4 linked regions of the Arabidopsis thaliana genome follow. The protein of the gene in region 4 interacts with the protein of the main gene of each other region in a biochemical or structural test. Each region holds a gene or a part of one and is shown on either strand. Other genes may lie near its edges.

Region 1 (8,815 bases), on a different chromosome or scaffold from region 4:
AAGCTAAGAAGCATAATGGACCCTCGTCTAGAAGGAAAATACCCTTTCAAATCTGCTTTCCGAGTAGCTCAACTGGCTCTGAAATGCCTTGGACCCGAACCCAAAAACCGTCCATCGATGAAAGAAGTGGTGGAATCGCTCGAACTCATCGAAGCTGCCAATGAGAAACCGTTAGAACGAAGGACCACTAGAGCTTCCCCATCCATCCGTCAACAACAAGGCCATTATCGCCCGCAACAACTCTCTTCGTTTCGTCCTAGACAAAACGTGTCTCGAGCTCACTAGTGTTGTTTGAAGACACTGAGATTCTTTTCTTAGTTTTGTATTTGTTAAGATTATCAAAACCCATTCGTATGTATACTACATGAAAGAGAAAACAAATGTTGTACCTGTATTAGTATGTAGTGTTTGGTGTGTGTAATATAACTACTTAAACGGTTAAACCAGATTATGAAAAGGTTTAACTAATGGTCATCAATATATAAGCCATTGTTCACACAATTTTGTTGTTAAAGCTTCAAACTTTAGTTGTGGTTTGAAGTATGGTAATGGGATCACACTTGTGTTCAAAGCTACAAGCTTTGTCTTCGAAGATTAAGCAAGCTTCTGTTAGTGGAAAATGGCGGGAAGTGGTCTCTGGGTATTCAGAGATACAGAGAGCTGGAGTTCAATTTAACGATCCTTTCGTTTTCCCCATTGTTTTTAAAGCTTGTGCTAAGCTCTCATGGCTGTTTCAAGGTAGATGTATTCAAGCAAGTCTGTTAAAGAGAGGTTTTGAGTCTTTTGTTTCTGTAGGGAACTCAATTGCTGATTTCTATATGAAATGTGGAGACTTGTGTTCTGGGTTACGAGAATTTGATTGTATGAATTCGAGAGATTCGGTGTCTTGGAATGTTATCGTTTTTGGGCTTCTCGATTATGGTTTTGAAGAAGAAGGGTTATGGTGGTTTTCGAAGTTGAGAGTTTGGGGTTTTGAGCCTAATACTTCAACATTGGTTCTTGTGATTCATGCGTGTCGTAGTTTATGGTTCGATGGAGAGAAGATTCATGGCTATGTGATCCGTAGTGGGTTTTGTGGGATTTCGTCTGTTCAAAATTCGATCTTGTGTATGTACGCAGATAGTGATTCTTTAAGTGCACGTAAACTGTTCGATGAAATGTCTGAAAGAGATGTTATTTCTTGGAGTGTTGTAATCCGAAGTTATGTGCAGAGCAAGGAACCTGTTGTTGGATTGAAGTTGTTTAAAGAGATGGTTCATGAGGCGAAAACAGAGCCTGATTGTGTGACTGTGACAAGTGTTCTCAAGGCTTGCACGGTGATGGAGGACATTGATGTTGGAAGATCAGTTCATGGGTTTTCGATACGGAGAGGTTTTGATTTGGCAGATGTGTTTGTTTGCAATTCACTTATTGATATGTATTCAAAAGGATTTGATGTTGATTCAGCATTTAGAGTATTTGATGAGACCACTTGTCGAAACATTGTTTCATGGAATTCGATTTTGGCTGGGTTTGTACATAATCAAAGGTACGATGAGGCTCTTGAGATGTTTCATTTGATGGTGCAAGAGGCGGTCGAAGTGGATGAAGTTACAGTCGTGAGTCTTCTCCGGGTTTGCAAGTTTTTTGAGCAGCCATTGCCTTGCAAGTCAATACATGGTGTAATAATTCGGCGTGGATATGAGTCAAACGAAGTGGCTTTGAGTTCTTTGATTGATGCGTATACAAGCTGCAGTCTTGTTGATGATGCAGGAACCGTGCTTGATTCGATGACGTACAAGGATGTGGTGTCATGTAGCACAATGATCTCTGGATTAGCCCATGCTGGCCGATCCGATGAAGCAATCTCAATCTTCTGTCACATGAGGGATACGCCCAATGCTATCACCGTCATAAGTCTTCTTAACGCATGCTCAGTTTCAGCGGACTTGAGAACTTCCAAATGGGCACATGGGATTGCTATCCGGAGAAGCTTAGCCATCAATGACATCTCAGTTGGTACCTCTATTGTTGACGCATACGCAAAATGTGGTGCCATAGAAATGGCGAGAAGGACTTTCGATCAAATCACTGAGAAAAACATCATCTCTTGGACCGTGATCATTTCAGCATATGCTATTAATGGTCTACCGGATAAAGCATTAGCATTGTTCGATGAAATGAAACAAAAAGGTTACACACCAAACGCTGTGACATATCTGGCAGCTTTATCAGCTTGTAATCATGGAGGATTGGTAAAGAAAGGTCTCATGATCTTCAAATCAATGGTAGAAGAAGATCACAAACCTTCATTGCAACATTACTCTTGCATTGTAGACATGCTTAGCCGAGCTGGAGAGATTGATACGGCTGTGGAACTTATCAAGAATCTTCCAGAAGATGTTAAAGCAGGGGCTAGTGCTTGGGGAGCGATTCTTAGCGGTTGCAGAAACCGTTTTAAAAAATTGATCATTACCTCAGAGGTAGTAGCTGAGGTTCTTGAACTCGAGCCCTTGTGTTCTTCAGGTTACTTGCTTGCGTCAAGCACATTTGCTGCAGAAAAATCATGGGAAGATGTAGCAATGATGAGGAGGTTGGTGAAGGAGAGAAAGGTTCGGGTCGTTGCGGGTTATAGCATGGTTCGTGAAGGAAACTTGGCAAAGAGGTTTTTGGCTGGAGACAAGTTAAGCCAGAGTGATTCTGAATTAAATGATGTCGTTCAGAGTCTTCATAGATGCATGAAGTTAGACGATACTGCAGGACCGATAAACTAAAGCCCTTTGGGCCTCAACGAAGCAGATAAATGATATTATTATACGATGCCGTATGTATTCTCGGATCCGGGTGAGAAAAGGAACGAACCGGGTTTTGTTTTTGACCCGACCCGGTCCCTTCGATCCGTTCTCTGAAGCAGAAGTCTTCTTGTTTTGTTCTCTTCGATCCATTTCGTCAAGCAATCTACCGAACCGACTCAGAGCTTTTGAGTCTTCTAAATCTCTATCGAATTTTTCTAGGGTTAGGGCTCCTGATCGATTTCGCGAGCTCTGCGATTATTTTAAGTATTAGGATCCGAAATTAGAAATGGGTGGAGAGGGAGATTCAAGTCAGCCGCAGAGTGGTGAAGGAGAAGCTGTGGCTGTGAACATCAGGTGCTCTAATGGCACGAAATTTAGTGTGAAGACGAGTCTCGATTCAACGGTGGAGTCTTTCAAAGAGTTGGTGGCTCAGAGCAGCGATGTTCCAGCTAATCAGCAGCGCTTGATTTACAAGGGTCGTATCCTCAAGGACGATCAAACTCTCCTCAGCTATGGTAATCTTCATCGTTTCTGATTTATTCGTGTGGGTACTTTTGTTGTTCTCGTAGATCCTTATTGATTGAAATTCTTGTGGATTCTATTCTCTGTGGAACATGTTATACCTAGGTTTGCAGGCTGATCACACCATTCATATGGTTAGAGGCTCTGCACCTTCTTCAGCACCACCTCCTGCTCCGGCCGCAAGCCAAACCACTGCACCTAGTGTTACTCGAGGGGTTGGTTCAGATAATAGCTCGAATCTAGGAGGAGCGAGTCCTGGGGAATCTTTGTTCCCTGGGCTTGGATTTAATCCTCTGGGTGGTGGAAATGCTATGTCTGGGTTATTTGGAGCTGGTCTTCCGGATCTTGTGCAGACACAGCAACAACTAGCTCAAAACCCTAACATGATTAGAGATATGATGAATACTCCAGCCATCCAGAACCTTATGAACAACCCAGAGTTTATGAGGAGTATGATTATGAATAACCCTCAAATGCGTGAGCTTGTAGATCGCAATCCTGAGCTTGGTCATGTGCTCAATGACCCAAGCATCCTTCGTCAAACTCTAGAAGCGGCAAGAAACCCAGAGCTTATGCGTGAAATGATGCGGAATACTGATAGGGCTATGAGTAATATTGAGTCTATGCCTGAGGGATTTAACATGCTTAGGCGTATGTATGAAAATGTCCAGGAACCGTTAATGAATGCTACCACTATGTCCGGGAATGCTGGAAACAATACAGGCTCCAATCCATTTGCTGCTCTGTTGGGAAACCAGGGGGTCACTACGCAAGGAAGTGATGCTTCTAATAATTCTTCGACACCAAATGCTGGAACGGGGACTATTCCGAATGCAAATCCACTTCCTAATCCTTGGGGTGCTACAGGTGGTAAGTAACTGCATTTTCATCTTCTAATCTCCTGTCGATTTTATTTGTCTTTTGAAGGATGCAGTAATATTTTATAAATGAAAAAGTGGCTTGTTTATAAGAAATGGACGTTACTGTTCACTGCTCTGCTTCAGGAACAATATTGTGTATAGTAAATTGGTGAGTTAGTGTAGTTACCACAATTTGTTGTTATGTGTAGTTTTTGCATATGATTTTCTTGGCTTATTGTTTCTAATTTAACATTTACTCATAATACACTAAATATAATTGAACATATTGTGGGCTACTTGACAGGTCAGACAACTGCCCCTGGAAGGACAAATGTTGGTGGGGATGCGAGGAGCCCTGGACTTGGTGGCCTTGGTGGTCTTGGAAGCCTTGGAGGCCTTGGTGGACTCGGTATGCTTGGAGCGGATTCACCTCTTGGTGCGACTCCAGATGCTTCTCAATTGAGCCAGTTATTGCAAAACCCAGCCATATCGCAGATGATGCAAAGCGTATTTTCCAATCCACAATACATGAATCAGGTAGGCCTAGAATGATCTGAACTTAAGAGCCTTTTACCATTGTGAACATATATTAATTGTTTTCCCTTGATTCCAGCTTATGAGTCTTAACCCACAACTCCGAAGCATGCTAGATTCGAATCCTCAGTTGAGGGAAATGATGCAGAACCCAGATTTCCTTCGTCAGTTTAGTTCTCCGGAGATGATGCAGGTTAGTTTGTCCCCTATTGTCTGTATGCATATGAATTTTTAACATGGTAGTCTCTCAAAAGAAACATTTCTTTGTATCTAAGCTATTTTCAAGTAAAGAAGTTTCTTTTCTTTTTTTTTTTTGGGACAAAGTAAAGAAGTTTCTTAAACCTAATGTTTTCTATTGTTTTTTGGTCTTCAGCAAATGATGACTCTACAGCAATCACTATCTCAGAATAGAAATACAGCCAGCCAGTAAGTTTTGTTAAAACCCTTCGTTGTTTGGATTTGCTTAAACAAAGTTGAGCATTTACATGTCCTTTACATATTGTTTTTTGGGTTGTTTAGTGTTTAGACAATGTTGTAACTAGCTAAAAAGATTGGTTGTGAACGATCTCTATAATAAGAAAAGGATTGAACCATGACTAATGCAGCAACTCTTGTATGATTTACTGGGCTGATCACTAGTAACATCTATCAAAGAGGCTATAAATAAAGCATTTTAATCGTTGGAATACACTTGAATAGGGCTCATAACATTTTGTTTGTTTTTGATTATGCCTTTTAGCATAAGCTATGTGTGTTAATCTCCATATTTTGATTTTCATCAATCCGCATTCATGTTCCCAAATCTATCTTCTCTGTAGGGATGCGGGGCAAACTGGTGCTGCCACAGGTACTCTTAAAGATATTATATGTATTTATTCTACAGTAGTATAAAGGGTTTAGTTATGTTACGTAGTATAGCAGCTACTCTTTAGTTCTCTTTGCTTTCATGTATGTTTTATTTTAGCAGATATTGTATCGTATACAAGTTAATAGTAGAATGACAATACTGATGGGGACAGGAAATAACGGGGGGCTGGATTTATTGATGAATATGTTTGGCAGTCTTGGTGCTGGCGGCCTGAGTGGCACGAACCAATCCAATGGTTAGAGACTACAAATTTTTTTTAGCTTACGCATCTGTTGTGATGGTTCCACTGAAACTTGTCTGTTTGATTCCAGTTCCTCCTGAAGAGCGGTACGCTACTCAATTGCAACAGTTGCAGGAAATGGGATTCTATGACAGAGCAGAGAACATTAGGGCGTTGCTTGCAACCAATGGTAACGTTAACGCTGCTGTAGAACGACTCTTGGGGAGTATCGGACAGTAGCATACAGGTTCATGAACTGATGTCTCTCCATCTGGCTTCTCAGTTATAGAATAAACAGCTTGAATGTGTGTTTTTCAGTAATGATATATTCATCGAATTCATAAAAATTTATATATGATAGGATCGTGAACTTTGTTGATAGAAAAGCCGCATCAATACGGTATTTGTTATCAGTGGTCACTCTTCGTCTTTAACTACCCTTAAACCTATATATCTTGGGTGTTTATCTTTGATAACTTATTTCAAGTTGTTACAACATACAACATCTGTAAATGTTTATAGACATCAAAGTGAAATTGAACCCATTAAATTTTTGGTTCCTTCTGATCCGGTTCAAAGGTTAAACCAAATTGCCCAAAGAGAGAAGTGGCATGTTGCAAAGGAATATCCAATTAGTTGATTCATCATCTTCAATTAGATTCAAGTTACAGCCAATTCCTTCCTGAACTATATACCAAATGCCTCAATTTAGACCCGACCCGGCCCAATCTTACCCAGTAAGAGTCGTCGATACGTTCTCTGAAGCGCAAGTCATTTCTGGATTCTCATTTAATTGGCCGTTCGGGGCCAAATAACTCTTTAATTTTCTGCAGTCTCATTTGTTATTCGACCAAAAATAATTTATATCCCTTTCCTCAAGAAATCTTCAGAACCGACTTATTAGAGCTTCGAGTCTCCTCAAATCTTCTTCTACGATTTTTTCTTCTAGGTTTAGAGCTTTTGATTCTCCGATCAATTTCGCGATTTGTTGAACTAGGATCTGAAATTAGAATGGGTGGTGAAGCAGATTCGAGGCAGCCGCTGACTGCTGAAGGCGTAGCTGTTGCCGTGAACGTCAGATGCTCCAATGGCACGAAATTTAGTGTGACGACGAGCCTCGATTCCACGGTGGAGTCTTTCAAAGAGTTAATTGCGCAGAACAGCGATGTGCCGGCAAATCAGCAGCGTTTGATTTACAAGGGACGTATCCTCAAAGACGATCAGACTCTCCTCAGCTATGGTAATTTTCTGATCATTTCGTGTTTCATTTCTGTTGTTCCGTTGCTTTAATTTGACTGAAAATCTCATAGGGTTTCTAGGGGGTTGGAACATTGGATTTATGTTAGGTTTTTACAGAAGCATGGATGATTTTATGAGTTTTGATGTATGCTTAATCCTTCTATGGGAAGAATAAGGAGATGTAGTTAGTGATACGATAATTGATTCATACCATTCTTAGAGTTCCTAATGTTCTCATGATCATGTATCTTCTTGGGATGTATATTTTCTCCATCAATGGCTGTTGTTGATATGATTGTGTTGGATAGTTTCCACGTTTTATTGTTTTGCATCATGAGCCTCAATGTTTCCTTTCTCTGTGGACCATTTTATATATAGGTTTGCAGGCTGATCACACCGTTCATATGGTTCGAGGTTTTGTGCCTTCTTCTCCTTCTGCTCCCGCTGCAAATGCTGGAAACCAAACCACTGCTCCTCAAGCGGTTGGTTCAAATGATAGCTCAAACCTCGGAGGAGGTGAATCTTTGTTCCCTGGCCTTGGATTTAATCCTTTGGGTGGTGGAAATGCTATGGCTGGATTATTTGGATCTGGTCTTCCTGATCTTGAGCAGGCACAGCAACAACTAGCTCAGAACCCTAACATGATTAGAGAGATGATGAATACTCCAGCCATCCAGAATCTTATGAACAACCCAGAATTTATGAGGAGTATGATTATGAATAACCCTCAAATGCGTGAGCTTGTAGATCGCAATCCTGAGCTTGGTCATGTGCTCAATGACCCAAGCATCCTTCGTCAAACTCTAGAAGCGGCGAGAAACCCAGAGCTTATGCGTGAAATGATGAGAAATACTGATAGGGCTATGAGTAATATTGAGTCTATGCCTGAGGGATTTAACATGCTTAGGCGTATGTATGAAAATGTCCAGGAACCGTTAATGAATGCTACCACTATGTCCGAGAATGCTGGAAACAATACGAGCTCTAATCCATTTGCTGCTCTTCTGGGAAACCAGGGGGTTACTACACAAGGAAGCGATACTTCTAATAATATTTCGGCACCGAATGCTGAAACGGGTACACCTAATGCAAATCCACTTCCTAATCCTTGGGGTGCCACGGCTGGTAAGAAACTGTATTCTCATCCTCTTAATTTCATATGGGATTTTACTTGTAGTTTAAGGTTGAAATATTAAATATAAAAGCAAGAGTGGCTTGTTTTTAAGAAGTGAAAGTTTATGTTTACCACACTGGTCAGGAATAGTATTGATTATAGTAATAATTGGTGAGTTCATGTTCTCACAGTTTGTTGTTATGACTAGTTTGTCTATGAATAAGTTTCTTGGCTGTTTGTTTCTAGTTTAACTGTTACTCGTAATGCACTAAAGATTTTAGAACATATTGTGGGGCTACTTGACAGGCCAGACAACTGCCCCTGGAAGGACAAATGCTGGACTTGGTGGTCTTGGTGGGCTTGGAGGCCTTGGTGGACTCGGTATGCTGGGAGCGGACTCACCTCTTGGTGCGACTCCAGATGCTTCTCAATTGAGCCAAATACTGCAAAACCCCGCTATGTCGCAGATGATGCAAAGCGTACTTTCCAATCCACAGTACATGAATCAGGTAGCGCCTTCAGTAATCTGAATTTTAGACATTGTAGCTATTGTGAGGCTGTCTTTAATATTTTAATATTTCCTTCATTTCCAGCTTATGAGTCTTAACCCACAACTCCGAAGCATGCTAGATATGAATCCTCAGTTGAGGGAAATGATGCAGAACCCTGATTTCCTTCGCCAGT
Region 2 (6,972 bases), 6.4 Mb from region 4:
TTGAGAGGCAATGGAAGGGGGAGAAGAGTTTCAAGAAGAAGAAGTGTGGTCAGTTTTGAGAGAAAGTGAAACTCAAGGTCCTGAAATGAAAATGTCCAAAAGTAACAATCTCTTCTCAGCCTCTTCCTCATCTTCTGCGAGGTACATTCCTAAAGGCAACGAGGTCTCTGGAGGGGCAAAACAGTCATCTGCTCCAATGAATATTCCTGACTGGTCCAAGGTTTATGGGTATTCAAAGAAGAACACAAGCAGCCACTTGCATTCATGGGCCATTGACGATGATGATGAAGGCTCAATGGTTCCTCCACATGAGTTAGTAGCAAAAAGACTTGCAAGAACGCAGATCTCATCATTCTCTATGTGCGAAGGAATCGGAAGAACGCTCAAAGGAAGAGATCTCAGCAAAACAAGAAACGCTGTCTTAACAAGAACTGGTTTCTTGGAATCGAATATCACATCTTCATCAACAACATCACCACCATAGTTTTGGCATGGCATGGAGCATGGCTGGATGATCAATATCACATTCACACAAAACCCTTTTTAGCACCATACCATATCATTATCATGAAAAAAAAACCTAAAACCTTATGGTATCCACATGATTTTTATTAAATATCAATGTTATTGTCGTTATCACCATGTAGGGAATCATGACACTACCAATATGGTTGAGTTCTCTTTTTTTTTTTTTGTTGTTGTTGTTGTTGTTGTTGTTAGGTTTTTGGATTTTTTTAGATAAGTATGATGACGATGAGGATGACTTGTCAATCCCATGCATGGGCCCATACCATTTTTCTCATGTTATGTTTGTAGTTCTCAATGGTCTTTTAACTCTTTAGCAGTGCTTAGTGAGCTTAAATTATAGTTTAGCAAAACAAAATGGCATATACTTTGGAACCTTTGAATGTGAGAAATTTGAAAGCACTCTCGATCTCTTCACCATTTTGGCCTCGACCAAGAGAGAAAAATGTAGCGAATAATGTTAACATTTTTGGTCCGACACAAGGTTAAGGGGCTCGTTCCATATTGCTCACTACCTTTCACTTTTCAATGTTATATAGCAACTAGACATGGTGTTACTAGGGGAATGGGGTATATGTATCTGTTATCTATTTCGGTGTGTTGATTTAATTTTTTACTTCGTGTATTCTTGAACCAATCTGCAACTGAAAAAGTTGTATTTGAATTTGGATTAATTCGTTTCGTTGCTAAATATCCATTTCAAGATATACATAATAAATATATTAGTTAATTTACTATGGTAAGATATATTTTCAAGAATGAAGTTGTATAAATAAAAATACTTGTTTCGATAATTTTCAGTTTTATTCACGTCGGTACTATCTCACCCGTACTAAATTTGAATTGCCGACAAACAAAAAAAATGTCAAGTTCGGTTGGATTTTTTATTTTGTTTGGATCTACTCAATATATAAATAGTACCAATCACACTATAAACGAAATTTACTCATCTTTCCTTGGCCCTAGCAACGGTTCATGATAATCATTCTTTCTTTTTACAATTTACTTTTTCGAAATAAAAAATTGTAGTAAAATTACAGTTTCAACTAAAAAAAAATCTTGTACAGAGGTGCCACAAAAATGCAATTCAATTTTATATAAAAATACAACGACAACAAATTTGTTACTTTGTCAAAGCGGATTATTTGGCACGAAAAATTCGTGCGGAACCGCTACATATCATTTTTGTAAATAATTTTCTTCAAAATTGGCTCGTTTGAGTCATAAATAACACCTGATGACAAAAAAAAAAAAAAAATTTTTTTGTTACTTTGTAAACTTTTGCTAACCAAAGCCTATATAAAGGCCCAATTAGCCCAAAACGACACAAAAATGTGTGAAGAAATAAACAGATGGTGGTGACGTAAGACAAGTGTAAGAGATTTCTTGTAATCCAATCAACAAATAATAATAAACGAATTCCAAGTGGTTTACTTATTCCAGAAACAGTTCCGTGTAGGCAACCATTAGGAAAACCCTAACTAAATTCCATTATTAATTTCTTTTATAATCCCTTTCTCTTGACATTGACTTCTCTCTCTCGATTCTTCTTCTCCAGTTTCAATCAAACTCAATTTCTTCTCAACGAACCCTAATTTCCAACAAATCGGATTCAGTTTCTTCTTCGGGTATGTTTCTTCTCACCAATAAATTCGAGATCTTTTAGGGTTTTCTGGGTTTGTTTCTCCCCCGATCTAGCAGACGATCGAGTTTATTAATTATGATCTTTGCTTGCTTGAAATTCGCAGAGACTAATCGAATCGCAATGGCTAAGAGTTCCTTCAAGATCTCTAACCCTCTCGGTTTGTTTCTTCAAATCCCTTTCTCATCGAATTTTCAATTACTTGATTTTTTGTTGAGTTTCTGAATTCTGTTAAAACTTGCTTTAGATCGTGTATGGTTTTGATTTTGGAACTCAATTTTGATTGGTTTTGGGATCAGATTTAATCTCTGCATACGCTTTTGATTCTTCCTTTGTTGTTCGTTTCTCTGTTTTTGTTTCTAAGCCAAGCTGTGAGATTTTATAGATATCTCTGTTTAATGATGTACTTGTCATTAATCTTGTGGTTATGTTTTGTTAATCAGAGGCAAGGATGAGTGAATCTTCTCGAATCAGAGAGAAGTACCCTGACAGAATTCCCGTAAGCTTACAAATTCATGAGTTGATTAACTTCTTTTCACTAAATTTAGTCTAATTTAGAATCTTGGATTGTATGTAGGTGATTGTGGAGAAGGCTGGACAAAGTGATGTTCCTGACATTGACAAGAAGAAGTGAGTAATGGGTTTGCTTTATTTACTCTTTTTCTATATCATAATCTTGATAACTTATGTTTCTTCCACTTTCTTTTAGGTATCTTGTACCAGCTGATCTAACAGTGGGACAATTTGTATACGTGGTTCGTAAAAGAATCAAGCTTGGAGCTGAGAAAGCTATTTTTGTCTTTGTTAAGAACACATTGCCTCCAACTGGTAAGAGTTCTTAAACTCTTTAACACCATTCAGGATCAAAGTTTCTTTCTTTACCACTAACTTTGGTTTCACTTTTGTTTCTTAACAGCTGCATTGATGTCTGCGATCTATGAAGAACACAAAGATGAGGATGGGTTCCTCTACATGACTTACAGTGGAGAGAACACTTTTGGATCTCTTACCGTTGCTTGAATAAAAATCGATCTTTGGATGACTTTGATGTACATACATAAATCAGGAAGATAAAGATGTACATTGCTTCCTTCTTTTCTCTGGCTTTTAACTTTGCTTTGGATGTTTGGATATCTTTCCCTTTGGGTTTATTAATCGTCAGAAACTTCTCCTTTTCTTACTTTCCTCTTTTGCTTTTACTTAAATAACATTGATTTTGGGGCTAATGAGTAATGAGTCACTTTCATATCAAACTTGTTCATATCCATCACAAAGGCAAAAAAGGAGTAATACACTGAAAATTGGTAAAAATAAACTCACAAAAGGCAAAACCTTGGCGTAATTATTTTTAACCACAGCTATACAAAAGGCTAAAGCTCCAAATAGAGATTCTCATCTTCACCTTCTTCATCTGTTCTAGCAATCTGGAACGAGACTGGATGGTCTATTATTGATCTCTTCGTCATCGTAGAGTCGGCGGATTTTATTGCGGATTTACCGAACAAGATTCAAGAAAGATGTCAAAGAATCAACATCTCTCTTCTCTGATGGATACTTGATTGGTCTTGAAGAGTTCTTTGGGAACACAAGTATTGTTGGAAAGCTTCCAAGCTGCAACTCCTTTTTGGCAAAGTCCTTCTGGTCACCATCAGCTCTAAACTTAGCAACCTTCACACCACTTCCTCCCAGCTTATCCGCCAATTCATCGAATGAAGCTTCCATTGCCTGACAAAACGGGCACCACGGTGCATAAAGCACAACGATCCAAGCCTCTTTCCGGTTCTCTAACTTCATCAAATTCTCAATCCCTTGCCTGCTCAAGTTCACAACATTCTCGCTATTGAAGATATCCGCGACTGAGGCTGTCCCGTTGACATTAGCGGTTGCGTTTCCATTGGTATTCTCCTTGATATTCCCTTTGTGAAGGCCACACTCTTTAGCCTTAGCATCTTCCCACCACCATCTCCCTTCTCTCTCATGCTGACCCGGCAAAACCGCTCTCGTGCATGGCTCACATCCGATTGAAACATAACCCGCAGCGTGAAGCGTGTTGACAGGAACATCCATCGTCCTCAAGAAATTCCAAACATCATTCCCTTCAACATTAGCAACCGGATTCCACTTCACCAAACTACCAACTCCACCATCTAATCCTTCAAACACTGGATCAACCTGAACAACAGGAATCTCCGATCTTGTCCCGGGTGATTGATCTTTCCTCTGACCAGTGATCCAAGCACGTAAACCCTTCAACGCACGCCTCAAAGGTCTCACCTTTCTAATACGGCAACACTCCTGGTGACCATCTTCATAGAAAGAGAACAAACCCTTGTTCCTAACTAAAGCTTGAACCTCAACAGCATCAGGAAACATATACTCAATCCGAATACCGTAATGTTTCTCCACGGTATCGAAGAGTCTATATGTTTCTGGATTCAATCTCCCTGTATCCAAACTGAATACCCTATAAGGTCTTCCAGTTAAATGAGCATACTCAATCAGAGCAACATCTTCAGCTCCACTGAAACCAAACAAAACAACAAATCAGCAAACTAAAGGAAAACAAAAACATTCCTTTATTGTATTCTCATGATTCAATTCATTACCTAAAGGCAATAGCAATGTCATTCCCAAACTTCTCAAGAGCTTTATCCATGATCTCAAGAGGAGAAGCATTCTCTAATCTCTTTGCTAGTTCCTCAAAGTCTTCAACTTCCACCACATCTAGCTTCTCTGTAACCTCTGTTTTGTAATGAAGCACAAGATCATTAGCATAAACCTTAATCAAATTAACCAATGATCAATTGAAAAATCAAACCAGAACTTACCAGAAGCAACAATGGATTCCTTTGTAATTGATTGCACATTAAGAGCTTTCACGGAGGATCTCTTCCCGGACAAACTCAGAGAAGCCGCAGAGACATTGGTACGATTCAATAACCTCAATGATCCGATTTTTGTTACTGTATTGAAGAATCAAACAAACAAATTGAATAAGATTCGACATTGATCGAATTTGAACGAATTTAAAACCAAAACACAATGACCAATCAAGGCATTTCTAAGATTCTCCACGAATTTGGTATTGAAAATGAAATAAATTACCTTTGAGATCTGAAGAAGGGAAGCTAGAGCTTGAGATCGCAGAAGAAGAAGATGAAGAAACGTTGATTGCTAGTGCCATTTTCACTCCAAACCAAATCTCTCGAAACAATGTTCTTAAGTTTTTTTTATTTTTGTGTTGTGTTTTTTCTAATTTTGTGTTCTCTTAAGATTTGTTGAGAGAAATGGGATTATAAAAGAAGCAGCTGAAATTTAGGTTCATTGAACCTAGACGTCTTTTTTTAGGTGGCGGCATTTGCTTTTCTATATATCATTGCTTGCGTCACTTTGGTCGTGTGGCAGAGAAAACTAGTCAACTTTGGTCCAAGAATTCTTTTTTTTTCTATTAATGTAACATACACTTATCTCAAAAACATTTTACACGCTTAATTTTATTTTAGAGCTAACAAAAATAATCTAATAATAAATTAATCTAATTTGTAAAATATAAACATGGTGATATGTTTGATTATTAATTTTAGATAAATACTTTCTCGTGTATTCTTTCCTTAAAAATCCGAAAAAACGATCATATTTATAGAATTAACTAAATAAAAACAGTTGAGATTTTCTTTCACTGAGATTATTTTTCGTTTGTTACGATTCTATCATTTAGTTTAACTTATCAATTTATCTACAAAACCTATCGATCTCTTCATTTCTTCTAGAAATTGCACGAACCGATATTTCATAAACCATATTTTACAGTCAAAATTAGTCTTGGTTGAAAAACAAATTCCGATCCTAACCACAAACACTTTTGGGTTCTGTTAAAAACAAACATAAAAAAACATCATACAAAAGTATATCAGAAGCAAACTTGTGATCTTAAACCTTCCAAGATTTCATAAGATCAACAAACTAAATTATTCTTATTCATCAACCAAGTCTATAGTAATCATGATCTCAACAAATCAATTACTTGTCTTCTTTAGCTTTCTCTTCTTCCTTCATCTTCTTTTCCCACCTTCTCTTCTTATAATCAAGCAACATCTGAGGCATCTTCAACATAAGCTTCGCAGTGTTCTCTCTTTTCTCAGCTGAAATTCTATCACATTTATGCCCTTTCCTCTTTGTCCTCATAGCTTTCCTCTCTGGATCATAAGGCCAATCTTCTCCATTAGTCAACACTTCTTTCCTCAGCATAGCCCTCCTTCGTGCACTTATCCCTAACGGTTTCCATGCTCCCATCTCCCAATAACCCCACACACCTTTCGTCAACTCGGTTCTGTACTTATCGAGTTTCGCCCTCCATGGATGTTGAAACCCTGTCACTGTCTTTGCCACAGCTTCTGCAGCTTTTCCAGCCATAACTTCTGCATATGCCCAAAACCACAATTCTTTAAAGATGATAATATCTCATTGTAATCCAATTAGCTCACAATAAGTTAAGAAACCTATAAACTTGCTAGCTAAAAGCAGAGGAGATCAATTGAAGGAAGGTATTATATGATAGTGATGCATAGAAGCAAAAAGATACAAACTTTGAATCCAAAGAGAGATTTGGTGATGCATAGAAGCAAAAAGATACAAACTTTGAATCCAAAGAGAGATCATAGTGAGAGTGAACTTGACACAACATTTCTTACAAATCAAACGCAGATTGGTTGAAATGTTGTTAAAAGAAGAGTCTTTGGAGACTAATTCTTGATTTACTACGCAGAAATGTGATGCAAATGGATCTAAATCCTCTAAAATTAGGG
Region 3 (7,880 bases), on a different chromosome or scaffold from region 4:
TATAATAACAATAAAGGTCCAACATTTGGTTACACACCTCAGAGGGATGATGTGAAAGTGCTAGAGAATGTGAATATGGTTGTAGATAATAACAATTACAAGACGCAGATTGAGTTTGCGGGATCATCAGTTGCTGCTTCTTCGAATCCATCTACAAACACTCAGCAAGAAAAATCAGAATCTTGTACAGAGAAAAGACCAGTGAGCTTGTTAGCAGGAGCAGGAATAGTTTCTGTTGTTGATGAGAAGAGACCGAGAAAGAGAGGGAGAAAGCCTGCAAACGGAAGAGAAGAGCCATTGAACCATGTGGAAGCTGAGAGGCAGAGACGCGAGAAGCTTAACCAAAGATTCTACGCTTTACGATCAGTTGTTCCAAACATTTCTAAAATGGACAAGGCTTCTCTACTTGGAGACGCAATTTCTTACATCAAAGAGCTTCAAGAGAAAGTCAAGATAATGGAAGATGAAAGAGTAGGAACAGATAAGAGCTTATCAGAATCAAACACAATAACAGTAGAAGAAAGTCCAGAAGTTGACATTCAAGCTATGAATGAAGAGGTTGTTGTAAGAGTAATCTCGCCTTTGGATTCACATCCAGCTTCAAGAATCATACAAGCAATGAGAAACTCAAATGTTAGTCTAATGGAGGCTAAGTTATCATTAGCTGAAGACACAATGTTTCACACTTTTGTGATAAAGTCTAACAACGGGTCGGATCCATTGACGAAAGAGAAGCTTATAGCAGCGTTTTACCCCGAGACCAGCTCGACGCAACCGCCATTGCCTTCTTCTAGTTCACAGGTCTCTGGTGATATATAAGTTTCACATGATGGTGAAGCTTTTGTCTATTCTTGTTTCAGTATAGATAACTTTCAGGTTCAACTAGAAATAGATAAAATCCTTTTTTCTTTTCTCTTTCTTATAGTGAAAGGAATCCGGTTTAAGTATATTCATTAACTTTATTTAGACCATTGATTCACATATTTGTATCTTGGGAAAATATTTCCTATACTTTAGAAAATCAAATAAAGTATGAAAGATATTTGACTTCTCTTTCTTTGTTATGGATGCTTTATTCAGTTACAATTTGGGATCCATTCTTTTTTTTTTTCAAATAAAGCAATAGTTATAACAAGTTAATATTATCCAATCAATGTTATTCAGGTAAATATTTGATTAATTATCTTGTAGAATGTTCATGTACATTTGAATTTTGAAGTGACCAAATCTTATATATTGGTCATGAATATGATATATTGACATTTCAAGAGACTGAGCTAAAAATTACTTAAAAATGAGAATCAATTATTTTTTTTCCATTGGTCCATTATTTTATGCAATGCAGCACATAATAATCTATTTTGGTTTTGGTTTGGGCTTCTGGTAGTTCTGAAAAGCCCAGTATAAAGCCCAACTCCATTAATGCATCTTCACCTCTACGACGAGAATTGTGCTTCCGATTCATTTCACATAGGGTTTGTTTCTCCGATCAGATCCAATTTCAATCCTTCTCCGTCAGATTATCTCCTCGGCCACGATGTCTCTCCGCCGCACTATCCTCGATCTCCACCGTCAAACCCAGAGAGCCACTCTCTCAAAGTCTCTACCTTTCTCGATGAGTCACATCTCCTCCGCATCCGCCACCGCCGCCGTGAGAAACCCACTGGGAAGAGACCTCTCTTCAATCCCCTTCGCACAAGCCCAGAAACTGAAACCAGATTCAACCAATCTCGTCACCGATCGCTCGATTTCGTCTTCAATTGGGCAATCTGAACTCAACAAGGCAGCCAAATTCTCGCGTCAATCGTCTTCTCGAGGTTACACTAATGGCTCTTTCTTACGCAAAATCCCTGTAGTCTTTCACATACATGAAGGAATGGAAGAGATTTTGGCGGATTATGTTCACCAAGAAATGACAAGGAATTTGATTGTGATGTCTTTGGGATTGTTCCAGATTATCGTTCTTAAAGATATTATCTTGTTTCTTCTCTGAAACCAAGTAAACATCTTTTGGGATCTAAGGAACACTCTCGATCATCATCACCTGTTAATGAATGAATAGTGTGGGCTAAAAAAAAGGTCTTTCCTTTTATCTTCTTTGTTTTATGAATAAGAACTTGATGCAATGTTGCATTTTTACCTTCAAGCTTTTGTTGTGTGTTGTTTCAGTTTCTGGTTTCGTGTATTTGATTCTGTAAGGCTTAAAATGGAATTCTAAGCCTGTTAATCTTTTGATTGAATAATGACAACTTTTCTCAGCTTTGAGGATCATTTAATCACTACGTTTGCATTTCGAATTTAGCTTTACTGTAATCAGAAGCACGAGAGACTTACGTGAGTTTTGCAGTAGAAAAGTTGTGGTTTTTACCAAGTAGATGGTTTGATTATATACAACTTTTGAAGAGATTTTCTGGTTTTGGATTTGGTGTGATCATTATAAAGGTGATGGAGACTCTCAAGAAGTCACAAACAGAGAATTGTCGATGTTATGTTTACTTAGATCAAACATGAGATTTTGAAGATATAAAGCTATCAAATTGAATCTTAGTTAGATGTTCATGAACCTGGTTAAGATGCAACTGGACCAACAATATTCATGTTCCATAGCAGAAAGCCTGAAAGGTTGAATAGAACAAAGGGATATGAAACGAGTTAAAGAAGCGAATTAAAAGGCCCATCTTTTTATCTGTAGGCCCATACGAATTACGATTGTACTGGTTCATTGATTCAAATACTAACTCTCTCCTTATCCGAAGTTTTAAAAGCATCCTAATCCAAAACGGTGAAATAATGACGATTAAAACCCCAAAGTCTCTGGCTTGGTTTCCACTCCAAGGGTAAAATACAAAACAAAATCAACGAAACTGCCGTACACCGTTGACAATAAACAAAGGAAAAGTGTACATTAAAGAAGAAGAAGAAGAAGCTTCATTGTACGCGTCACCTACGCGAACGAGGTGGAGACACGTGTCCTTCCTACCACTTTCCTTTTGAAAAACCTCTCTCTCTTTCCTCTAAACTCTTTTGACCCTTGTTTCGCGAGCTGTTTTGTACGCCATTAGATTGAACCCTAAAAACTCTATTATTGGATTGGATCATCATCGTTAAAGCTCCACGCCTTGTCCCAATTTCCTCTTTGGTTCTTTCCTTCTGGTAAGAATCCGCTCTCTTTCTCTCTTTCTTTTTTCTTCATATGGTACGTCATCGGCGACATCAATTGGCTCGATTTGATTCACCTGTAGCTATCAATCAATCCCTGATCTGTTTAGGTTTGATCTCCTCTGTTTTTTCCTAGGGCTTGTTATTGTTGTTTCTCGAAAAAGAAGAAGAAGCGATGGTATTGGGATTTTAGGGATTATTGCGGTTTGTTGTATATATATATATAGAAGCTGAGGGATTTTGTGTTGTGAAGAACATCGAATCCTGTTTTTTTCCGTAAGAAAGTTCTTAGATTTCTCCAAGTGAAAGAAGATGTCATCAGCTGGTGTTGCGTTAAGTCCGGTTCGTAGCGAGCCATTGATTATGCCTCTGGTTCGTGCCAATTCTTGTCTTGATTCTTATCCTGACGACACCATCATGATTTACCTTACACTTCCTGGATCGGTGATACCAATGCGAGTGCTTGAGTCTGATTCCATTGAGTCTGTTAAGCTTCGGATTCAGTCTTACCGCGGCTTTGTTGTGAGGAATCAGAAGCTTGTTTTCGGTGGTCGAGAGCTAGCTAGAAGCAATTCTAATATGCGTGATTATGGTGTTAGTGAAGGCAACATTCTCCACTTGGTTCTTAAGCTCTCTGATCTTCAGGTTCTTGATGTTAAGACTACCTGTGGGAAACACTGCAGGTTTCATGTCGAGAGAGGGAGAAACATTGGGTATGTGAAGAAGCAGATTTCGAAAAAGCGTGGAGACTTTGTTGATCCTGATGAACAGGAGATTCTTTACGAAGGTGAGAAGTTGGAAGACCAGAGTCTTATTAATGACATTTGTAGAAACGATGACTCGGTTTTGCATCTGCTTGTGCGGAGATCTGCTAAAGTTCGAGTTAAGCCGGTGGAGAAGAACTTTGAGTTGTCTATTGTTGCCCCACAAGCAAAAGATAAGAAGGGTCGTGAAGCTAAGAGCATTGTGCCACCAAAAAAGCTTTCTTTGGAGCCGGTAGTTGTTAACTCCAAGGCTAAAGTACCTCTGGTGGTTAAAGATATGATTCAGTCTGCTTCTGATGGACTTAAAAGTGGGAATTCTCCGGTCAGGTCAAGCGAAGGTACGGGAGGAGCTTATTTCATGCAGGGTCCATCTGGCAACAAATTTGTGGGTGTGTTTAAGCCAATAGATGAGGAACCAATGGCTGAGAACAATCCTCAGGGTTTACCACTTTCGCCAAACGGTGAAGGTTTGAAGAAAGGAACAAAGGTTGGAGAAGGTGCATTAAGGGAAGTCGCTGCATACATTTTGGATCATCCCAAAAGTGGAAACAAATCTATGTTTGGTGAAGAGATAGGTTTTGCTGGTGTACCTCCCACAGCTATGATTGAATGTTTGCATCCAGGGTTTAACCATCCCAAAGGAATCAAAACCAAGATTGGATCACTTCAGATGTTTACTGAGAACGATGGCAGCTGTGAAGATATGGGTCCACTTTCATTTCCAGTAGAAGAAGTTCATAAGATTTCTGTGTTGGATATTAGACTGGCCAACGCAGACAGACATGGTGGGAACATTTTGATGACCAAGGACGAAAGCGGGAAGCTCGTTTTGGTTCCTATAGACCATGGATACTGCTTGCCTGAAAGCGTAAGTGCTCTTACTCTTTTTCTATTCTTTCTTGGATTCAGTTTTGCCTATAGTGTTCATTGTCATGAAACTAACTTTTGTTTTCGTCATCAGTTTGAAGATTGCACGTTTGAGTGGCTATATTGGCCACAAGCCCGGAAACCGTACTCTGCAGAGACCCAAGAGTACATAAGATCACTGGACGCAGAGGAAGATATTGATCTACTAAAGTTTCATGGATGGAAAATGCCGGCAGAGACGGCTCAAACGCTCAGAATCTCAACGATGCTACTGAAGAAAGGAGTGGAAAGAGGACTAACAGCATTTGAGATTGGAACCATAATGTGCAGAGAAACACTTAGCAAGAAGTCTCTGGTGGAGGAAATGGTAGAGGAAGCTCAAGAAGCTGTGCTTCCAGGGACGAGCGAAGCTGCATTCCTCGAAGCCCTATCCGATGTGATGGATTACCATCTCGATCACTCTCAGGAACACTAAAAATGGTTCTTGTTTAATTCAAAACTCTGGTATATACTCTTTGGTTTGCTTTTTATAAACCTGTTGGCTTTTGTATTTTTAAAACTTTTTCATTTCTGTCATTCTTTGGACATGTTCAAGGTGTTTTGTTAACTTCACTCAGACATATTTCATGGTAATGACAATTTAAGTGTTTACAATAGTTTTCTCTCTTTGTAAGATTTAGCTCTTCTCTACGATATACATGTCTCTCTGTTAATAAGCAATGAATGACGTCAAATCTACTGTGAAACTCCAAAACTGTCAAAATCTTACAGGAACTTCAAAAGGCAAATCGATGAGAACGAAACTCAAAGATGAGCAGAAGCAATTCACAATCGTTACTTTCGTATTGAATCTGCTCTTCCTGTAGCTCTTTTTGATGTCTCTGTTTTCTCAAGTCTTTCATGTCATTGAGCTTCGCTTTGAATTCCTTAAGGTACCAAGGTCCGATCATCCTCTTCCTATTCGAAAAGATACACATAAGCCATGCTTTGCATCGCAGGCGATTCCAAAGACCCGGTACAGCTTCCATGACAGAATCCAAAGCTTCACCAAGCCTTTCAGTTGTGCTTACCACGTTCAAAACGCAAGACCATCGCAGGGGCCAAGGTTTTCGTTTAAATATTAACAAGGTTTGTTTGTTAGCGAGCATCATCTAAAGAGAACAAATACAATCTTTCTATAGATCCTCCGACTATAATGTTCTTAGTCTAACCAACAAAATAAATATTGTTATCTTAAAGAAAGTGTGTGCTTAGGGTTCTCATGATTTGAATTATAACATGTCTCCATTCAATTTCTTAAAAATGTATCTTGACTAAAGAGAACAAGTACGACCTTTCCATAGATTCATCAGACTACAATATTCTATTATTCCTCATCTAACCAACAAAATGAATATTGTTATTTTTATTTAAAGACGAAAGATAGAGATCTCTTAAGTTTGAACTATATATATATTAAGTGAAATAATAACAAGTCTTCTTGTCCCTCCCTTAGTACAAAAAACCACCAAATGACTTTCTCAAAACAACTCTTCCTTTACCTCTTCTTCCTCTTCCCTCTCCTACACGCTTCACACCCACAACAATGCTCTTCCTCCTCATGCGGTCGTGATGATGTCCATGTCCGTTTCCCTTTCTGGTTACTCTCAAAACAGCCTGAGCTCTGTGGCCATGCCGGATTTAATCTCCAATGCACAGCTAGTCCCAAGACAGCTCTCAAGCTTCCTAATTCCGGAACATTTCTTGTCCGAGAGATCGACTATTTAAGCCAGCAGATTCGTCTCTATGACCCTGAAAATTGCTTGGCAAGAAAGCTTTTGACCTTCGACATATCAAGATCTCCTTTCTCTGCTCTCTACCTTGTCAGCTACACGTTCTTGAGCTGTCCTAATGAGGTTGCAAAGTCGTCCAGGTTTGACTCCATCCCATGTCTAGGCAATTCAACGACCTCGTTCTTGGCTACAACTAGTTTGGATCTCGCGAAATCTATGCTGCCTTCTTGTCAGATCGTCAAGACATTAGATGTTCCGGTTTCTCGGCGAGTTATTGCCAAGAAATCAAGATTCTCGACTGATGTCAACGATAAAGACCTTTGGCTGAAATGGGATTCTCCAAGTTGTAGCGATTGTGAGAGGGATTTTTTGAGATGTGGATTCAGAAGCAACACTTCTCTCCAAGTCAAATGCTTCCCTTTTGAAAATTCCGGTACAAATTACTCCAATTCTTTCTCTTCTTAGTTCTTATAACTTACATTAATTAATAGTTATGAATTAACGACGAATGAGTTAGTCTTCATAAAAAAAGTTCAAATTGGAGGAATCTTTGATTATTTGGGGTTTTCAAATAATTATCCAATGATTAAACAACTAGACAAAAAATCTAGTAGGCCATTACATTTGACATTGAGCCGTTGACTATATATTGATTAGTTAAATATTGTTTAACCACATTTTTTAAAAAGATCAAATCTCCACTCTTTTCAATATGTCATAGACTGTTGTACTCCGTAGATAATCCCTTATAATACGAATTTTAAAAGAATAGTGGTAACATGACTTGTTGTTTAGTGATTGTGTTATCATCAGATTCAACAAAGAAAAAATAATACGTACATGGTGGCTTAAGTAAATTGATCTTTCGAAACATGATTTTGGCAGGCTACAACACGGAACCACAAGTGCTTAAGATTATACTCCTGAGCATAATTGGACCGCTCACGATCTTTGCTACTTGTATTGCAGTCGGAGTTTGCACCTCCGAAAGATTCGCTTCCCTGATACAACGCAACGTGGCTATCGCCGCCTTGCAGCCAAACGAGGTTATAGTCACGACGGGTCTTGATGAATCTATAATAGAATCATATAAGAAAACGGAATTAGGAGAGAGTAGAAGATTACCGGGAAATAATGATGATATTGTTTGCCCTATTTGTTTATCGGAGTATGCTAGCAAAGAGACCGTGCGGTGCATACCAGAATGTGATCATTGCTTCCACAGTGAATGTATAGATGTGTGGCTTAAGATTCATGGTTCGTGTCCTCTTTGTCGGAATTCTCCTTCTCCGGCTCGTCAAGCTGTCTAAGATGTTAA
Region 4 (7,953 bases):
ATCGACGAACATTTCATATTCAAAACAAGAACACAAAATCCTGCGATAGGAAAAGAAAAAAAGAGAGAAATCAAGGGGATGAAACCAAGTGCCTTGATGCGGTTGGATAGGTGGTTAGGCCATTCTCTATTTGGGAGAGTTTCATTCAGAGAGGGAACAATATGTCAGAAACACTGAACCTATTGAGTGAGTTCACGTGATGATGTTGTTATATGCGAAGTGGTTTTTTTTGTCATGTGAAGTTGTGCTTTTATATAGATACTAGCCTATTAGAGTACCACGGGTTGATGCATGCTTTGGTTACAAGTTTCTTACCTAAATCTTACCATTTGCTTGTTTTGTGTTTGTGTGTGTGTGCGTGCAAAAAACTCTCACGCCTGCAAAATGCAAACTCACGCTACGATCCAGATTTGTTTTCTATAGGAGATGGATATATCTGATAATAAAAATATTGAATATAGTTTTTTACTTTATTATAAAATATATAATTAAAAGTTAGAGATTTTGAATTAACATATTTAGTTTGATTCGAAATTTAAATTTACAAGATTTTGTACTAATGTTTTTAATTTCTTATTTTATAGAACTCAAATATTTGGAAAACAATACAAAAGGAACCAATTACCATAACTAAAGAACCACCAAAATTTTAAAAATTAATTTTGTTAGTTGATACAAAGGGAAACCAATATTGTCGTCTATGCATTTTTAGATTACGTTGTTGTCAACATTTGGATATAAATTTGTACGAATTTAGCTAAATTTCATATCTTTAAAGTTTAAACTCTCAAAAGATTTCAAAGATTTAGCTTTACAAGTGACAATTGGGCCCAAGTTAACAAACGTATCTGCCCTTGTGATGCAGTCACACGCTCCTTAGGAGTTAGGACTATTACTCTTGCATGCGATGATTTGGGCTTTAATACGGCTAGTTGGGCTTTGAGAATTCTCTTATCAGACTTTCTTCGAAGCCCGTCTCAATGTCTTCGTGAATTTTTCTTTTAATACTGGTAAAAGAAACTATACTAATATTTTAATGCACATGAAGATAATAATACTCCTTTGGACGGTATAATACCTGTATACGTGACTAATCAACGAATTAAATTTGAGCATTGTGGTGGCGAGATCTTGGATCATCTTCGCTTGGCCGCTTGGGCGGTGGTCGTCGGCATCGTCACTAATTAATTATTGTGATTAAGAAAAAATGCTAAATTGAGTTTCGTCGTCTTCTGCTTCTGCTTAAGCTTCTTCATCATTTAGCTCCAGAGGCGGAGCTTTCTTCTCTCTCTGTGGACGACCATGGCGGCGGACGACGGCGACCCCACTAAATTCGCTGCAATCTACGACTCATCCTCTCCGTCACACCCTCTTCTCTCTAAACCCTCCACGTCCGCTCTCGATTCTCCGCGTCGAAGTGATCCCGAATCCGACCCAACTCAGTTTCTTCAGATCTCCTACAATTTTGGCCCAAGAACTTTCAAGGACATCCCTTTCCTACTTCTCTTCGATCTTCTCGTACTCTCCACCTTTGGTTTTGGAATCTTCTCCATTTTTCATAGAAATAACGATTACGGGAACTCCTCTTCCTTCACCTACGATTTCACCTCTAGCTCCTGCGTCAAAAATTCTACCTTTACGAAAATTTCGGATGGGTACTACTGGGCTTCTTCGAGTGTCATGTACGGCATGGTTTCTTCGTCTGATCCAGTCTTTGAGAAGGATTTGATCTGGACACTTGTTGTAACGCTTATTTTAAGCGTGCCCTTCTGTTTTAGCGTCCTGCTTTTGCTCAAACACTACACTAAGCAGATTGTTTATGCTTGTTTACCTCTCTTTGTCCTTTTTCCCATCTTTTTCAATGTCTATTGGTTTGTCGCCTGTACTCTTAGCTCTTCTTGTAGCGATGCCCTCCCTCTAGCTTACAGAATACTTGTCCTAGTCTTTGTTTTCTTGATCATCGGGATCATTGTCTGGATCATAGTAGCTAATTGGCACAGAATTGATCTTACTATCCAAATCATCAGTGTTGCATCTGATGCCTTGTCCAAAAATTTGAAACTTTTTGTTGTGCTGCCGCTGCTGACTCTCGGGTTAGTGGTGTACTATGCGCCGATTGTGGTGTTCTTGGTGTTTGCAAGGTTTAATGGGAAGTTTGTGCCGCGAGAGTTGGATGGTCAGTACTTTTGTGAGTGGAAAGAAGATTCTTGGGTTCCTGCGTATTACGCTCTTGCCATTTTAACGATGATCTGGTCTCTTGCTGTAATGGTGGAAATGCAAGTGTATGTGATAAGTGGAGCTATTGCTCAGTGGTATTTCTCCAAGGAAGACTCAATCCCTAAAAAATGCATCCGGAGTTCTTTGAGGTGACTCGCTGCCACATCTTTCTCTATTTTATTCTTGTTATCAATGAATTTGCTGTGCAGTTTCTCTTACAATCAATGGTGCTCTTAGTTCTAATATATGTTTTGTGTGATCGCGGGAGTTTTTGCTTTGAGTTCTCTTAGTTTTGTTTCCTCATAAAATATAATCTATGGTCATTCGAAGTATCCCTTGCTTGGCTTCGTTCTGGAGTATTCAGTGATTCTAGGTCATGGTATTCATAGTCTTGGCCTTATAGATTGGATATTGTATTGGAATCCATCATCTGAACTTGTTTGGTACTTTAAATGTGAAAAGAGACAACAGACAGTGGTATTTTTGAAAGGAGATTATAGCTTTGAGGATCCAAATTTGCATTAGTCTTCAAATCTGTTGTTGGTTTATGTCAAAGCATGTGTGAATCTTATTATTTTTTGTATCTGTCTCTTCAGGAATGCATTTGGTCAATCCTTTGGTACGATATGTGTATCAGGACTTCTCATATGCATTGTTCGTGTGGTCCGGGCAATTGTGGACAATGCAAGAGAAGAGAACACACAAGGAATAGTGAACATGGTTCTCCGTTGCTGTGCAAACGCCTTACTTGGTGCCCTTGACTATCTCAACAAGTTCACCATCAACTTTGCTGCAATAACAGGGGAAGCGTATTGCACCTCTGCGAAAATGACTTACGAGCTGTTAAGACGCAACCTACTGTCAGCTGTATTTGTCGAAACGGTTTCCACCAGAATCCTAACCGGAATAGTCTTTGTCCTGTCAGCCGCATATGCAGTCGCGGTAAGTATTATCTTCTGCTTGTCTCACCAACCAAGCATTTAATAATTGCCATAATGACTAATTCCGGGGTTTGATGATGCGCAAAAGCAGACATGGGCTGTTCTGAGAGGAGTGAGCAACCTGGGTATAGATTCGTACGTGGTGGCTGTACTGGCGTGGGTGTTACTGATTGTGATATTGGCTTTCTTTGTACATGTTCTTGACGATGTGATTGACACAATCTATGTCTGTTACGCGATTGATAGAGACAAAGGGGATGTATGTAAGCAGGAAGTTCACGAGGTTTATGTTCACTTGCCTATCAGCAGAAGCACAAGATCTTCTCTCATCCCAAATGCTCTTAATGCATAGCAGAAGATGATCCAACGTCTCTGCTTGTTGTATCTTTTTTTGTTTGTTAGCACCGTTGTAAATTCCTCTCTGGTGAACTGTGGTTTGTCTTCTTGGGGTTTATATTGATGTTTTGTAGAGTTATGGGGTAACAATGTTGAATAAAAGAAAGACTTTAGTTATAGGAATTACTGTAATGTGGTCTGTGTTTCTTTTATTCATTAATAAATCAACTTTGTTTTGCTTTTTATCAAAAACAACCATTGGGGCTAAATTGAAATAAACGTAAAACATTAGGGTCTAAAAGGAGAAAGTAAAAAAGTAAAGGGGATATTTAAAGAAGAACAATGTTATTATTATCGGTCTAAACTAAAATCTAAATCTTGCCTTCCTGACTTTCTCTCTACGACAGAATTTTTGAAGCTTCTCTCTGCTTATCGACACGATGGTTCTCGAGGTGATTTTCCAATTACTTGTGCTTATCTTCGTTGATGATCCACGTTGAATGCTTTTTCTCATCGATGATTTCTTGTTGTAGGCGACTATGATATGTATCGACAACTCCGAGTGGATGCGAAACGGAGATTACTCTCCGTCTAGGTTACAGGCGCAAACGGAAGCTGTTAATCTTCTTTGCGGAGCCAAAACCCAGGTAATAATTTACGTTTTTTCACTTGATTCGATTAGGGTTTTTGGGTTTGCGTGAGATTGTGATTTTTAGGGATCTTTCTTTTTTGCAATTGCAGTCGAATCCGGAGAATACGGTGGGGATTTTGACAATGGCTGGCAAAGGAGTTAGAGTATTGACTACTCCTACCTCTGATCTTGGCAAAATTCTGGCCTGTATGCACGGTATGTATCTCTCTCTCCAATCTTTCTATTTATTATTAGCTGTCTACTTAGAGCAATTAGAAAAAATCTGTTCTTTCTCTTTATCATTGAGTTTGACATCAATTTGCTACTTGCGTCATCTTTTCAGGCCTTGATGTGGGAGGAGAGATCAACTTAACCGCAGCTATCCAGATCGCCCAGCTAGCTCTTAAGCATCGCCAAAACAAGAATCAACGCCAAAGGATTATTGTTTTTGCTGGAAGGTACCGAATTGCTTTGTTTTTGCTGAGTAACTTTTGTATAGTTTTATACTGATGTTTTTCTTCTGCTTCTACTTTTTAGTCCAATCAAGTACGAGAAGAAGGCCCTAGAGATAGTTGGAAAAAGGCTGAAGAAGAATAGTGTCTCTCTTGATATTGTCAATTTCGGGGAGGATGATGATGAGGAAAAGCCTCAGAAACTCGAGGCGCTCCTTACAGCTGTGAATAACAATGACGGTAGCCACATTGTTCATGTTCCTTCTGGAGCCAATGCTCTCTCAGATGTGCTTCTCAGGTACCATCCCTTTTCTTCTTTTTTTCTAGGTTATGTAGATTGTAAAAGGAACAGTTTCAACAATATCCGGCTTGGTAGGTGCACTTCATGTGGTTTTGTGTGTTTAGGTCTTTTGAGCTCTCTAGTCTTGCTTTTTATCAATGCTGCAACAAAACATTTAGACAGTGATTTGAATCATAGATAGTGTTTTAACTTTTAAATTTTCTTCCAGCACACCTGTATTCACGGGTGATGAGGGTGCAAGTGGCTATGTTTCTGCGGCAGCTGCTGCAGCGGCCGCAGGTGGGGACTTCGACTTTGGTGTGGACCCAAATATCGATCCAGAACTTGCTCTTGCCCTTCGGGTCTCCATGGAGGAGGAGAGAGCAAGACAAGAAGCTGCTGCCAAGAAGGCGGCCGATGAGGCAGGTCAGAAAGACAAAGATGGGGACACAGCTTCCGCCTCACAGGAGACAGTTGCTAGGACAACTGACAAGAACGCTGAACCAATGGTTAGTTGTTACTTAAAATTGAGTGTAGCATTCTTATATAGTCACAGGCGGAGAGATTGTTAATCATACAACCTTTTGTGGCAGGATGAGGACAGTGCGTTGCTAGATCAGGCAATTGCTATGTCTGTTGGTGATGTGAATATGTCAGAAGCGGCTGATGAGGACCAGGATCTGGCTTTAGGTAAGTAGAACAGTGTGGTAAAAGTATATCCATGGCAATCAAAATTGGCATTTTTCTTATATTTTTTTATACTCCATGTGCAGCTCTGCAAATGTCAATGAGTGGGGAAGAGTCAAGTGAAGCTACAGGTGCTGGAAACAACCTCTTGGGAAATCAAGCCTTCATATCGTCTGTTCTCTCATCGGTAAGCCTACATAAACCTTAGTCAGTTTTTTTCACAAGCAAAATGAAAGAGAAAAGTAGTAGGGTTAGCTTTGGTACTAAGACTTTGTGTACACGCAGCTTCCTGGGGTGGATCCAAATGATCCGGCAGTTAAAGAACTACTAGCGTCTCTGCCAGACGAGTCAAAGGTGTGTCTTTGTTGATGTTTATGATTACATCTTTTTGTTATTTGAAAAAGAAGATTCTGATAAATGTATATGGTTAAAATGACAGCGTACCGAGGAGGAAGAGAGTAGTAGCAAAAAAGGCGAGGATGAGAAGAAGTGAAGAAGGATCTGAGAGTCTCAATAAAAATTCCTCTTGTTTCTTTGGTTTGATAGAGATTGGAACTGAATTTAACTAATCTCTCTGCCTTGTGAAATTTGTTTTTTTCTCTCTCTCTCGCCTTTTTATAATGTTGTTATTGTACGAGTCAAGGACTAGCTTCCTTCTTAATTTTTATTGGACTTTATGTCAATGGGCTCTTAGAAAGTAAGCCTATTTGTTACAGGTCTCTCGATCAATTCAGTAGAATAGCGAGTCCTAAATTCGTAATGAACCTTGCACAAGTGTCAAATCTGAAATATTCTTACGACAGTGCAAAAAGTCTACATTGGTAATTAAATTTTGCTCACATTTCTGCGAAGTTATGTTTTTCTCCAAGTAATTAAAGTCCCACGTGGCAGTTAGGTACTTAATTCCTTTGTTCTACTGTTGGCTCGTTTTTTTGTTCTTTGCAATCTAATTTTTATATGCGCTTATTAGTCTGCTAATTGCAATCTATTTGCATTATTTAATTTATATTTATCCCAAGATATGTGTATTTGTCTGCTAATTGCCACATGCGAGCTGTAGTTTTGATCATCTACGTACGTGTAAACTATGCTACACAAACAAATTGAATTGCTAAATATGACTATCGTTAAAGACTTTTTATTGGGGAAACTTATTAGTGACGAAATTTCTTTGTTCCCTTTTAGAGCAAGAAAGGGAAAGACAAAAAGAGTCACAAGACTCACAAACTATAACATAAAAAAAAAGAAAGAAGAAAAACTGATAGAAGCTTCTATTGCATCTACCTAACACCTTTTGAAAAAGTCGTTTCTTTACAAATGAAAATGAATAATATTAGAAAGAAGAAGGAAGAGGAGGCAGGTGCGTCTGTCTTTGTTCACTTGTGTCTGTGTGTGTGGTCATCCTTTTGTCCTTTTCCCCTTTTTCCTTATCTTCAGTTCTCACCACTCCTCCTCTCCCATCTCTTTCATTTCCAAAATATCATCCTCCTCTATCAACTTCTACATGTTTTTTTTTGTTATTCCTTCACTTTCATAATATTTACCCAACCACTGTTAAATCTCGATGTTCGAAATTAATCAAACGTTCTCAACTTTATTTTAGACTTCAACTGATTTTGTTTTTTTTTCCAACTTTAAATTTGTTTCATTAGTTGATGCAACCTGAGAAAACTCTTATTGATTCCATTATTGTTGAGTTTGTATCTTCATCAGAATATGATATATATCAAGCCCCAGTGCTAGTGACAACAACTTGTCATTTGGTGATCATATAATTTCTCAAGTGATTATACCAGTTTTTGAGATCTTACCAATTTTTGGCCAAAACAAAAAAACAAACACACAACTGGAGTATATAACCATTTGATCAATTTTAAAACTAAATCTAAATATATACGAGGAAATAATATACTGCTCTATTGGGATTTGAGATGATAATTAATGTAGTAGCTAGAGAGGGTTTTTGTAGTGTTGAGGAGAGGATATCAACGAAGGAACATGTACAACACCGATTTTACCAAGCATCTTACGATAGAACAATGTTTAAGTTTACGAGTCGCTACTCTTTCTAAATTCAACCATGTGGCTACATTCAATGAAACTCCTATACATAATTTTTATATGCATGCATGCATAAATATATTATGTGGTATATGGATATACAGTATATGTATGTTATGCATTCATGTGTAATATGTATGTATGTATGTATGTATGTATGTATGTATGCAGATGTAGATCGCTTGCAAGTGGACAAAAGATGAGGAAAGGTTGGTATATAGGTTGGTAGGGAGATGGGTAGTGAGAAATAAATAGAGTTTGGTAGAAGAAAGGGTCCATTGGTTGTTGCTTCCTTTCCTTCATTTATGGTTTTCATTATTTTCTTTTTCTTTTTCACATATCTCTTTC

The links.
Region 1: the proteins of RPN10 (region 4) and DSK2 form a complex in vitro, tested with the Arabidopsis thaliana proteins (one study listed by BioGRID).
Region 2: the proteins of RPN10 (region 4) and APG8A form a complex in vitro, tested with the Arabidopsis thaliana proteins (one study listed by BioGRID).
Region 3: of the proteins of RPN10 (region 4) and PI4K GAMMA 4, one has a biochemical effect on the other in vitro, tested with the Arabidopsis thaliana proteins (one study listed by BioGRID).

Annotation. Positions count from the first base shown.
Region 1 is NC_003071.7:7,479,336-7,488,150, reverse strand, and holds DSK2 (ubiquitin family protein), read left to right. Parts: upstream 1-2,910; 5' UTR 2,911-3,060; coding exon 3,061-3,289; intron 3,290-3,401; coding exon 3,402-4,166; intron 4,167-4,460; coding exon 4,461-4,693; intron 4,694-4,769; coding exon 4,770-4,883; intron 4,884-5,063; coding exon 5,064-5,116; intron 5,117-5,508; coding exon 5,509-5,537; intron 5,538-5,709; coding exon 5,710-5,793; intron 5,794-5,869; coding exon 5,870-6,018; 3' UTR 6,019-6,270; downstream 6,271-8,815. Other genes in the region: Kin3 (Protein kinase superfamily protein), read left to right, coding at 1-285; AT2G17210 (Tetratricopeptide repeat (TPR)-like superfamily protein), read left to right, coding at 543-2,753; AT2G17190 (ubiquitin family protein), read left to right, coding at 6,790-7,018, 7,396-8,142, 8,438-8,640, 8,725-8,815. UniProt on the Arabidopsis thaliana protein: Binds and presumably selects ubiquitin-conjugates for destruction. Prefers multiubiquitin chains rather than single ubiquitins, with a binding affinity for 'Lys-48'-linked ubiquitin chains.
Region 2 is NC_003075.7:11,653,623-11,660,594, forward strand, and holds APG8A (Ubiquitin-like superfamily protein), read left to right. Parts: upstream 1-1,990; 5' UTR 1,991-2,245; coding exon 2,246-2,327; intron 2,328-2,610; coding exon 2,611-2,666; intron 2,667-2,744; coding exon 2,745-2,797; intron 2,798-2,876; coding exon 2,877-2,995; intron 2,996-3,083; coding exon 3,084-3,187; 3' UTR 3,188-3,412; downstream 3,413-6,972. Other genes in the region: AT4G21970 (senescence regulator (Protein of unknown function, DUF584)), read left to right, coding at 11-484; APR3 (APS reductase 3), read right to left, coding at 3,662-4,688, 4,774-4,909, 4,996-5,130, 5,273-5,351; AT4G22000 (tyrosine sulfotransferase-like protein), read right to left, coding at 6,188-6,580. UniProt on the Arabidopsis thaliana protein: Ubiquitin-like modifier involved in autophagosomes formation. May mediate the delivery of the autophagosomes to the vacuole via the microtubule cytoskeleton.
Region 3 is NC_003071.7:19,084,126-19,092,005, reverse strand, and holds PI4K GAMMA 4 (phosphoinositide 4-kinase gamma 4), read left to right. Parts: upstream 1-2,776; 5' UTR 2,777-3,153; exon of another isoform or gene 3,154-3,295; 5' UTR 3,296-3,471; coding exon 3,472-4,791; intron 4,792-4,884; coding exon 4,885-5,265; 3' UTR 5,266-5,514; downstream 5,515-7,880. Other genes in the region: AIB (ABA-inducible BHLH-type transcription factor), read left to right, coding at 1-819; SDH4 (succinate dehydrogenase subunit 4), read left to right, coding at 1,538-1,993; AT2G46495 (RING/U-box superfamily protein), read left to right, coding at 6,302-6,995, 7,448-7,872. UniProt on the Arabidopsis thaliana protein: The phosphorylation of phosphatidylinositol (PI) to PI4P is the first committed step in the generation of phosphatidylinositol 4,5-bisphosphate (PIP2), a precursor of the second messenger inositol 1,4,5-trisphosphate (InsP3).
Region 4 is NC_003075.7:18,055,441-18,063,393, reverse strand, and holds RPN10 (regulatory particle non-ATPase 10), read left to right. Parts: upstream 1-3,795; 5' UTR 3,796-3,934; coding exon 3,935-3,946; intron 3,947-4,027; coding exon 4,028-4,141; intron 4,142-4,235; coding exon 4,236-4,341; intron 4,342-4,468; coding exon 4,469-4,583; intron 4,584-4,662; coding exon 4,663-4,875; intron 4,876-5,086; coding exon 5,087-5,366; intron 5,367-5,450; coding exon 5,451-5,547; intron 5,548-5,630; coding exon 5,631-5,731; intron 5,732-5,829; coding exon 5,830-5,898; intron 5,899-5,983; coding exon 5,984-6,037; 3' UTR 6,038-6,406; downstream 6,407-7,953. Other genes in the region: AT4G38650 (Glycosyl hydrolase family 10 protein), read right to left, coding at 1-17; AT4G38640 (Plasma-membrane choline transporter family protein), read left to right, coding at 1,303-2,366, 2,814-3,159, 3,250-3,510. UniProt on the Arabidopsis thaliana protein: Plays a role in maintaining the structural integrity of the 19S regulatory particle (RP), subcomplex of the 26S proteasome.